3 linked regions of the Rattus norvegicus genome follow. The protein of the gene in region 3 binds, or shares a complex with, the protein of the main gene of each other region. Links are inferred from orthologs where the notes say so. Each region holds a gene or a part of one and is shown on either strand. Other genes may lie near its edges. The genes, in order: Polr2f, Tbp and Taf1c.

Evidence for each region.
Region 1: Taf1c (region 3) and Polr2f share a complex: the UniProt entries of both Homo sapiens proteins name them as parts of the pol I pre-initiation complex. The link is inferred for Rattus norvegicus from reciprocal best matches to the Homo sapiens genes TAF1C and POLR2F.
Region 2: Taf1c (region 3) and Tbp share a complex: the UniProt entries of both Homo sapiens proteins name them as parts of the transcription factor SL1/TIF-IB complex. The link is inferred for Rattus norvegicus from reciprocal best matches to the Homo sapiens genes TAF1C and TBP.

The regions. Positions count from the first base shown.
Region 1 is NC_086025.1:112,599,338-112,603,033, reverse strand, and holds the end of Polr2f (DNA-directed RNA polymerases I, II, and III subunit RPABC2), read right to left. Parts: intron 901-3,696; coding exon 829-900; intron 657-828; coding exon 566-656; 3' UTR 525-565; downstream 1-524. UniProt on the Homo sapiens protein: DNA-dependent RNA polymerase catalyzes the transcription of DNA into RNA using the four ribonucleoside triphosphates as substrates.
Region 2 is NC_086019.1:65,135,324-65,138,923, reverse strand, and holds the start of Tbp (TATA-box-binding protein), read right to left. Parts: upstream 2,217-3,600; 5' UTR 2,059-2,216; intron 1-2,058. UniProt on the Homo sapiens protein: The TFIID basal transcription factor complex plays a major role in the initiation of RNA polymerase II (Pol II)-dependent transcription.
Region 3 is NC_086037.1:64,565,259-64,569,081, forward strand, and holds the start of Taf1c (TATA box-binding protein-associated factor, RNA polymerase I, subunit C), read right to left. Parts: upstream 2,342-3,823; 5' UTR 2,279-2,341; intron 1,522-2,278; 5' UTR 1,521-1,521; coding exon 1,383-1,520; exon of another isoform or gene 574-1,382; coding exon 492-573; intron 366-491; coding exon 268-365; exon of another isoform or gene 197-267; coding exon 107-196; intron 101-106; exon of another isoform or gene 33-100; coding exon 1-32. UniProt on the Homo sapiens protein: Component of the transcription factor SL1/TIF-IB complex, which is involved in the assembly of the PIC (pre-initiation complex) during RNA polymerase I-dependent transcription.

The sequences.
Region 1 (3,696 bases), on a different chromosome or scaffold from region 3:
CAGAGTGGTGATAGGGCTGCAGTTGCTGCCTTGCCCAACAGGGCTCTGCCTGGGGACAGTGGGGGATCACTGCACCCCCACGCTTCCTGCTAAAGCACCGCTCCTGAAAGGGGATCTGAGTCCTCGATAAGAGCTCAAGGCAGGTCCCTAGGAACAATGGCTGGCTTGATGAAACCTGCTCTGTGATACTCCTGAGAAGGGAGAAGCCCCTGCAGCCAGTCCCCACTGGAAAGGAAATTGGGGGTTTCCGTGGCAACCAGCTCCCTGGGCACAAAGACTCATCTGTCTGCTGAGAAGGCAGCTGAGGTGTCTCCCTGCAGCAGCTTTTGCTCTGGTGCATGGGGAGAGATGGAGGGATGGGATGGGGGCCCTGGTGCTTTAGAAAGAGCTAACAGTCACAGGGTCACCTCAATGTATGCCCATCCTGTAGTAGGGCAGGAACAAGAAAGCAGCAGGTGTCAGCATGCAGGCAACAGGGGCAGAGGGGGTGTGAAGAGTGAAGTTTATTATTTACATGTATAAAATGGGCATAGAGATGGTGCCTGGCACAGCCTGACAGCTCTGCTCAGTCGCTGATGATGAGCTCATCCACGCCCCAATCCTCATAGCTTCCATCTGGCAGGTAACGGCGAATGATGATGGGGATCTTCCGGGCCCTGTGTGGGGAGAAGTCGAATGAAGTGAGAGCTGGTGCCCTGGCTCCCAGCAGAGAACAGGTGGTAGTAGCACGTGTCACAGAAATGCCCTCCCTTGGCTCCCGGGGGCTGGCCATGCATGAGCCACAGGTCTAAAGAGGCCCGAGATACTCTGAAGGAGGGGCAGACTTACTTGAGTTCCTTCATGGCGATGAGCAAAGGGTCTGTCTCCCCCTCCAGCTCCACCATTACTGGGGCACACATCCTGCAGAGACAGAGAAAGATTGGAGAGACAGCAGACAAGGCTCAGAGAAGGTGGATCTGCTGTCCTGATCCTCATCTAGCAAGGTCACCTGGACAGGCAGGCCTGGTGGCAGCAGTGTTCAGGGAGCCACCACTGAGCAGAGGGAAGGCTGGCAGACTGGATTTAAACTGTGCCTGTAAGCACAAGTCACCGAATTTCTCTCCACATCCCAACAGCCTCTTCTAAAATTGAAGAAGAGATCCCTACCTCACTGGGGAAACAATGACAAAAACCAGATAGCAGACAGGCTCTGCACGCCAGACACTGACAGCTACCTGCCATGACCTCTGCCTCAGTGGGAGAGGCCTACTTTGACTTCCACTTTACTATCATGGAAACTAGGTACAGAAAGGTGAAGCTCTAGTGTACAGGAATGCCAGGGTGTTGCGGTGGGAGTGGGAACATCTTCATAGAAGGGATAACATTTGAAATGTAAATACATAAACTATCCAATATAAAAGGTGTCCTGCCCCAGGTCACGTAGGCAGAGAGGCAGAGCCAAGGTCTGCTCCTCACCACTGTGCTGGGATATGTCCCAGGTAACATACTGAAGTCATCTGCATGTCATACCCCATCAGAGAAGGCCCTGCATAGCAACACCCCCAGAAGAGTGACACTCTTCCAGCCTGGCCCCTCATTCAAGCCAGAACAAACTTCCATGCCTCCCCTAGGTTATGGTTAAGTGTCCCCCAAATTAAGATGACGACGGTATTGGAGAAGGAGCTCTTAGAAAGCCACAAAGGGGCTGGAGAGATGGCTCAGTGGTTAAGAGCACTGTCTGCTCTTCCAGAGGTCCTGAGTTCAAATCCCAGCAACCATATGGTGGTTCACAACCATCTATAATGAGATCCGATGCCCTATTCTGGTGTGTCTGAAGACAGCTACAGTGTACTTATATATAATAAATAAATAAAAAAAAAAAATTAAAAAAAAAAAAAAAAAGAAAGAAAGCCACAAAGGTGTGACCACCATGATAGCCTAAGTGGCTTTATTAAAGGAAGAGAAATCCAAGCTAGCAAGGTTGCTCAGTTCTACCAAATAACAGCACTCTGCCATATTACGATGCAGCTTGAGGCCCCACAGGTGAGTTGCCATGTTCTTGAACCTTCTAAGCTCCAGGACTGTGAGCCAAATGTACTAAGCCAGAAGCCTGTCCTCTGGACTTCTGTCACAACATGGACAACAGGCACAGATCCCTTTCATTTCTACTCTCTGTCCTCACCCACCTCTGTCTCCTTTTTTTTATTTAAAGATATACTTAATTTTTTTTTTTTTTATGTGAGCACTCTGTTGCTCTCTTCAGACACACCAGAAGAGTGTCCCATCGGATCCCATTACAGATGGTTGTGAGCTGCCACGTGGTTGCTGGGAATTGAACTCAGGACCTCTGGAAGAGCAGTCTGTGCTCTCAACCATTGAGCCTTGGGAATCTGTCTTCTGTGCCCCCGGTGAGTTAAACATGCGTTTCTTGGCATCAAAGCCACCATACTACTGTCCACACCAGACTATGAACATCTGTCTGGTGGCCCAGAACCACACATGATCCACTATGAGGGCCCAGGCCCCAGCTAATGCTTGGTCCAAGCAAAACTTCCAATGGCAAACAAGGGCACATCAACTCCAGGCCTGTCTCCTGCAGACAGACGCTTCTAATAACCCTGGACAGCCTGACGCCAATAGATTCAGACTTACGAACAAGCATCCAAAATCAAGGGCCAGTGCCTTCTCCAGGCCATAAAAGACCAATGATTTTCTTATGTGTATGGGTGTTTTGCTTACATGGAGGTTTCCAGTGCCTTTGGAGGACACTGGATACAAGAGCACCAAGTGCTCTTAACTGCTGATCCAGACAGAATCCCTCAGCTCATGAGGGGGTCTGAGAATTATACCTTCAGAGGTACCTGGGTGACTCTGGGGACCACCTTGAGACTGACATTTATTAGTTTGTGACTAAATATTCTGGTCTCTGCTAATCCTAAAATCCTGAAATTTTCCAAAGAGCAGAAACCAAATGTCTTTTCTGACATAATGAAATGTCCCCAAAACTTGACGTATAGCTCAGCAGTAAAACATGTAAGGTCCTGTTTAGTTTGCCATACATACACAGAGTGCTTTACATAAGTAACCATTGACCTGACCGGCCGTGTCCACTCTCTCCTCACATCACAGCAGTAACTGAAGGGCATCGCTCATCAGTGCCCCACAGACATGCAAGCGCAGGCTTTGAAGTGACTGTCTTGTGCTGCAGCTACTAAAATAAACATGTCACCATCATCCAGTGAAGATGAGGTGAGTGACATCAGCCAGCAGGTGGCGCACGCAGGCCAGACTGGACTCGCCAAAAGCTATCCAAGATGGCATTTCATTCAGCCCCTAAGCAAAGGTACAGCCCAGGCCTCAGTGTACAGAATCCAGCCTGGCTGTGCTTGAACAGAGGGCATGGGCTCCCTAGGGGAAGGAACACTAAAGCCCGGACTAAGCAGGATCCATCTTACTCCCACAGAGTATGACCATCCAGTTGGCTTAGACTGAGTTGTCAGGACGCCTCACTCCTGTGAGTGTTCCACACTGGCTTATCAGACACGAGTCAGTTTTGAACCTGTCCCTGTAGGTTTACTGACATCTTTTACTAGTTTTATTTATTTATTACAATTTTAAAAAATACTTGTATTCGTGTGTCTATGTTGGGGTGTGTGCAGGAATGGAGCCAGAAGGGTCAGACTCTGAAGCTGAAGTTAGTTACAGGTGGCTGTGACT
Region 2 (3,600 bases), on a different chromosome or scaffold from region 3:
CTTTGGATATACAATTTGTAACTTTGAAACCTGTGTGTTCTTTGTGAACTTAGACAATAAATGTTTAGATTAAGATCAAATTGTAGGGTGTGAGAGATGGCTCCAACCTGGTTCTCTGGAGGAGTAGGCAGTGCTTGTAACCTCTGAGCCATCTCTTTTAAGAACCAGCATCAGGGACCAGCCCTTTGTACCACCTTCACCCTCATGCCCCACCCCCAGCAAAGGCCTCGGCAAACTAAAGGCCGAGGGAAAACTAATTCGTAAGCAAACTGTACTGTAAGAAAAGAACACTTACTAGGCACTGTTTGTACAGCTCTATTAAGTCAATTCTGGTTTTATACCATTCCCAATACCTCAAGCTTAAAGTATCATATTGAACTGGACACAATATGCTTTAGGTAATCATTTTTTGTGTGTTCTAATTTTAATTAAAGGCAGACTAAACAACAGATGAAACATTAGCTCATTAGATCACATTAATTCAAACCACGCCTGGAACTGAGTTTCTTAAATCATCAGCTCTTTAGTGGTCATGGATGTGAAATATGAATATGGATTAGGAGACTATGAAATGTGCTCTCTTTTCCTTTGTAAAGGCAGTAGTGATAGAATCCAGAGCCTCCTAAATGGCAGGCAAACGCCCATCCTCAATTCCTTAAAGATACTTTATTTTTAAAAATCAGCTCAGTTCATATAGACCAATGGCTTGCTCAGAGATGCCATAAGAAGTGAACGAATCAACATTCCAGATACAAAGATAAAGAGGATACGGTCCTTATCAAACAGTTCGGTATAAAACAATACGGAGACAACTATAAATACTTAGCAAACACTAAAACTGCAGGCGTTTACGAAGTAAGGCAAGCTATTGGAAAGCTGAAACCAACATTAGTGTCTTCAAGACACCTGCACCTACCTATGACTGGTCTCGGCATTTGTGACCGTGAATGAATGTTATGGAAGAGTACAGATTAGAGTCAAGAGGTGGCAGAATGTTCTGCAGTCAAGAGCACTGCTGCTCTTCAGAAGGACTAGTTTTGATTCCTAGTACCCACATAGCTACTTACAACTAGCTATAAATCCAGTCCCAGGGAATCCAAAGCTCTCTTTTGTCTTCTATGGGCCCGGGCATGCACGTGATACACATAAAGACATATAAGCAAAACAGTCATATATGTAAATCTTTTAAAAGTTAAGACGGAATTGAAGTACCCTTTCCAGAGGTCTGAGCTCTCACAAAGCAGGGACAATCTAACACAGGTCTAGCAAGAGGAACAAAACCACACAAATCAGCACTATCGCAGTACAAGTCACAGACATGAAAGGGGGACAAAGCCTTGCATGTAGTATGTGACAGGCTTAGAATGTAAAGTCACTACAAAAGATGACAAAGCAGCTAGCTGTAGATAGGGTTGCATAATTCAGGGTATAAGATGTCACTACACAGACAATGGGAACAGTTAAAGGATGTTAAGGTGCAGTTTGAATATCTTCTTGGTCCAAGAGCGGATAAATCTGAGAAAACTGAAGACTGAAAATTCAATTTCAGAGATCACTGTTTTGGTTGGGGAAAAAAAAAAAGGCTGGATTTAATGTCCAAAGTATAACCAGAGATTTATCCAGATCACTTTCTGCAAACAAAGTTTACTGAACGCTCGCTTATATAAGACTGGGGAATGTGTAGTATCCTTCGCTGAGGTCATCTCACACCTGCAGACGATATTAAACTACCTTTTCTCATCTGCATCTTAAAACCGCAATAATCGCTGCACAAACTTATTTTTAGGTTGTTTTCAACTTTTGGAAACTGAGCCATCAAACTGAATATTTGGGAAACCAATTCTGCAGTCTTCAAGCGTCTGCTTCACCCAGTCCGGCATCTTTTCCCAGAAAAGCCTACCCGGAGTTTTGGAAAACCACGTTAACTCGAACCTAAAGACTGACAGCGTGTAAATAAAGAAGCGTGCGTTTTTATGTTAAGCTCGACTGAGCTTGAATCTCGAGCTTCTGACGAGATGCTCCGTCTCAAGAACCGCTTCCTAATAGAATTATTCTTACTGGGGACAAAACGAGCAGCCGCAGGCCTGGGTAAAACTGTCTTCCACCGGGGGAAGCAGCTGAGATGTACGGTGCGCCGAGCTGTCCGGTGCCAGCCCCTTGGAGAGGCTCACACTTGGCACTGGATTTCATGACCCCGCCGAGGCGGTGGTCCAGAGACTGGTACTCCCGGAGCCGCCGCAGCCCGCGCGGAGGACCGTTCCCCGCCCGGCCGCGCGCCCATTCCGCGTCTCCTCCGGCAAACTCCAGGGACCCGCTGCAGAAGTCGCTTTTGTTAAGGCCTCCAAGCAGAGAAAAGGATGAAAGAACCGTTACCTGGGCACTGCGGAGAAAATGACGCGACCGCAGAAACCTAGCCAAACCGCCAGCAGATACCCGCCACCGCTACCGGACTCGACCCCACCGAACGCCTGACGCACATCTGATGCCGTCACTTCCGCCAGTTGCGCTCTCGACTGGAGCCCGGCTTGTTGTGCTTAAACTGTGAGACACTCGTGAAAGAAAGGGGTTGGGTTGGTGTCCCAGCATTTTCGGGACCAGGCCTCTGACCGCCCTTTCTAGCTGTCAAAGAGAGATGTAGAGTGTGTAGCGGGAACAGTATTGGGGATGTGGCTATGGGGATCAGGCTCAAGCAAGCGTTCTACCACTGAACTGTATACATCCTCGATCTTCCACGTGTTGTTTTTGTTTTTTTGAGAGTTTCTCCTTGTCGCTCTGGCTGTCTTGGGACTCACTCTTGTAGAACAGGCTGGTCTTGAACTCAAGAGATCGCTTGGCAAGCTCACTGGGTCCTCCACTTTGCTCTGTAGAGTTGAATGATAGTAGTAGTTGCCTCTTAGAGATTTGTGAGATGGATAACGTGAATGGCAAGCAGACGCTTCTTATTATGTTCTCAGTAAATGTCAACTTGCGTCCAAAGAGGAACAGCAAAACAAGCGGCTTTGTAGTCACAGACTCATTTCTATTTTAACTCTGCTACTACCAGCTCTCGTCCTTGCTGTCACAAGAAAACGTCAGCTGTTTCTTAGACTGGTTCTTAATGCTTGATTTGATTCCAACATACCTTAATTTTTTCCTTCCATGGTTCACCTAGGCATATACATGTGTTGTTGTGCTTACTCCCCCCCCCCCCGGTGTGTGTGTGTGTGTGTGTGTGTGTGTGTGTGTGTGATAGAGAGAAAGAGAAAGAGAGAGAGAGAGAGAGAGAGAGAGAGAGAGAGAGAGAGAGAGAAGAGAATCTGTGTGTTGTGTATAGCTGTTGAATAGGTTGCCATATGCATAGACTCTAATAAGTACAATAGTATTGTGTATCTATTTTCTCCTAAAGGAAACATTTTCTCTTGGAAGTACAGGAAACCACAGAAGACTGGGGAATTAAGAAAACTTAACAAAGGCCTGACAAGAGACAATTTATGGGAAGCAGATTTATTTTGGCTTAGTGCTTGAGGGGCTACAATCCAGGGGAGAGCATGACACCTGGACTGCATCCACAAATCGGAAGCATAAATTAGATAAATATTAGTTCGCTTCTTTATTTAGTCC
Region 3 (3,823 bases):
ACGCTGACTATGGTCACCTTTTTCGAGTAGCCCTGCAGGGAAGGCCTGTCAGGTTTGCACCCAGGGAGGTGGCTGACCATCCACCCAGCCAGTGGTGGCTCCTTACCCGGTTCCCCTCCAATCTGAAGTTCTCCAGCATGAGTTTCCCCAGGGGTGCAAAGGCTATATCCCCATGGTCCCACAGGAAGCGGCTGAGCTGTGGGGAATGGCTGTGTGAGTCAGCATAGCTCAGGCTGTGAGAAACAGTCCCACCCAGAGACCGTTTACCTGCTCAGTGACATCCAGCACAACTCGAGACTGGTACTGGTAGTAGTGACCTCCCCGGAAGAGGAAGTCCTGAGCTGCCAGACCAGGGTCCCAGGGATCTAAGGGGAGAAGGAAGTCAGAGAAGAACCTGAGAGGGAATAGGGAGGTATCTGCAATCTGGGATCCCCTTGTCCATGCGATGGCTAAGGTCCTTGGAGGGAGCCCAGAAGGAGAGAGACTCTTACCAGGGCCAGGAGGCACCAGGGGCAGGGGTCCTGGTGTCGATGGCTCCCACAGCAGGTTCTTGGCAAAGGACGATGTCTGGTCCTAGGGATACAGGGCAGCAATAACATGGCAAGTATGCGCTCCCTGCCCTTAACCAACTCAGTCGTCGTGACAAATCTAAAAAGCTAGTCACTGTGCTAATGTAGAACCCGAAGGGTGAGGCTGCTGTCACTTGCCCTAGGTGACAGTCAACTAAAAACAGGCATAGACTTGAACCCAGGCAACCAACTCCAGAGCCTGTATTCTAAACTCCATTCATAGCAGCTTTCAAAGGAAGCACCTATATCTTGACTGTCCCACCCAGAACGCAATGAGCTCCAATTTTCTCAGCCACTTCCTCTGAGTCCTGTCATTCAATGGGTTCCAAGTAGGTACCAACAAGTCTCCCTTGTCCCAAGGACCAAGAACTCCCCTCCCCCAATACCCTCTCTTTGACCTGCTCCCCTCTACGTACTCAATACAAGGCAGCTGAAGATGGCCTTCCCAAGAGCAGAAATCCTGTCCCCTTCCCCTGCCATTTCATGATCTAGTAGAGCCAAGGCCACACTACACAGGGTCTGCCCATCGGCGTACTGTCTCCCACCATAACTGGCAGTCCCTTGGGTGGGTTTGCCTGACCTCCTCATGGTGGGCTCTTGGGCCTGTAAGGACCCTAACACAGAGACACTGGCTAATAAACATTTGCTGAACCCAGGGAGAGGGAGCAAGGAAAGAGGAGCTACAGCCTCTATTGAGAGATTCTGTCTGGATAGTAGGGCGGCCGGTGCACAGCACTAGCATCTGCTGGGACCTCTTTCTCCGATAAGTGAATGAAGAAGAGACCAAGGAAAGGACCCCACTTCCATCCTCACCCTGCAGTTCTGTGGCTGGGCCCCTGGCAGGGTCAGTGCATCTCTCCAGCTGCACATGAAGGACAAGTCGGGGCCATCAGTCATGCCAAGAGGACCGGCCATAAACAACGAAGGACGCAGGGTGCTGGGGAAGTCCATCCTGGAGACAATGTATCTAACGTTACACAGGACTTCATTAAGAGTCTCAACAGTGCCCCAGGGCTCCCAGAGAGCACACAGTGCCCGCAGGGGAGACCACTACAAGACAGCAGGTAAAGACCAGAATCTGCAGCCTAACGCCAGAGCTGCTCACTCCCAATCACAAGGGAGTGCTCCCTTGGGGCAGCCAGGGAGATAGCTCTGTGCACACCTTGGAAGAGGGGCTGGGGAGAATGACCGGTGAGCGCAAGAGGTCCCGAGGCAGGTAAAATGCCAGAGATAGGCAACCGCTGAATATATGAACGGGAGAGTGAGAGGACCAAGTGGGATGTTAATGAGAGCTGAGCGGTCTTCAATCAGGCAGACTTTCTTCCACCCCTCTGTGGGCGTACCAGAGCTGCGTACTATTCCGGCTTTCCCGGCCAAATACAGGCTTCTCCCGAAATGCCCGTGGTCTGAGTTAAAGCAGGAACTCTCTTCAAGCGGTAACTGTCAAACAGTCCTCATTTTTAGTAAAAATTAAATCTTACATCCGACCGGCCGAGCTGCTGGACGAGATGTGATGGCTCTGAATTTAAGAGTCTAGGAACTGAAGACCCGTAATCTGCTCACAAGTTTTCCGGGACCGCCCTCCCTCATGGCAAACATCTAGGATAAGACTCAGCGCTGGAATCGGCCTGCTCGAGAGCCATGTGGCCTGCCACGTGCTCTCAGCATCCCCGCACGCGGGCCCTGCCGGTTCCCGGCAACAGTCTCACCTGATCCCGGGGACACAAATGAGCCGGACTGCCACTCCTCAACGCCGCCACCCACAACTACTGGAGCATTGCCACCCAGACTGAACTAGTTTCCGGGCCGGGCCGGAAATGCTCCAGTGAGACAGGAAGTCCCGCCCCAGCTCACCTCACTATGTCCTCCAGCGCCACCTTCAGAGCAGGCGGCGAATTGAACCGAGCTGTGAAATTCCCATCGTCCTGGTGTTGGACGATCCTGCCTCCACTTCATTAACTTCCTATCTTACAAGAGTGTTGGGAAGTTTAATTGATCCTCTCAACAAACAACTGAGCAGCACTGATGAGCCACTCACTGTATTTGTTGCCCACAAGTTCTAGAATCCTCTTCACAGACGCCTCTGGGTGCATGCATGGCTTAAACCGGGGAACGGGAATGAATATTAGGTTGTCCTCTTGGGGGATTTTTTCAAATTCACAGGCAGCAAGTCCTGGGCGCTGCCTGTAGGTTGCCTTGGCCCTGGCACTATGACATGAAACTTAGGATGTGTGGCTCTGCTGACCACTCGCTTCTACACACCTGGAGGCTAAGAATGTCTTCAGATAGAATCTTGAGACAAGGAACAGATCTGCTTCAATGTAACCTACCTACATGACATTCCCACCAATGTATTTGAAAGCTTCTTTGGGTTATGACTTCCCTTTGTTCTGTAATTATCAAGACTTCATAAATCGGTCTCCAAGGTGGAGCAGGTTACTCGGGGGGACCTGAATCTGTGTTCCTGAGTCTATGCATAAAGGATCTCTAAAGGAACAGAACTGATTGAGTATAGAATGGAGGTGATTCTATTAGACTGGCTTACAGGCTGTGATCGGGGTAATCTAATAATAGTTGTCTTATGACAGAAAAGGCAAGGAGAATTTGGTAATGTTCTGTCCATGAGGCTGTCTGTCTGAGCAGTTCTAGTCTGGTGCTGTAGTCTGTGAGGTCTGAATTGAACCTCTTCCAGGACCCCCTGAATGAGACCCACGGAGGCAGGTGACTGACGCAAAAGCAAGAGGGGTCTAATCATTCCGACATGTCAGGGTCATCCCACTTCAAGAGGAGACAACCCTAAGAGCAGACTCTAACGGAGTTATATACCTTGCAAACAACTGGGGCGGAATTTGGACAATGGTAACCAGGCAGGGTACTATGCTCATTTAGTGAAGCCAAACAACGTTCTTCTGATCGACTCTGTGTACCATTCAGTTGGGAGTCAGGTAACTTTGTGTGACGGTTTGGCTTGTAGCTGTTCCAGGACCTAAACCAGCTTTTTTCTTCTTCCTGGAAGGGAGGGGTCCTTGTGCTTGGAGGTTTGTGGTAGGAATTTTCCCACTGGCTCCAGATTGGTCCCTACTCGGGCTCTTTCACACCCCCCCTTTTCTTTTAGCATAGCTTCAATCTTGAAGCTTATAACCCTCTAGTTCATACTCTTGCTTCCCCGCTCCCAGCTGCACACAGTGTTGCTTTGAGGTCATAGTAACTTTGAGGGGGTTGGTGTCCTTTTAAACCCTCTGTTTTGGCACAGC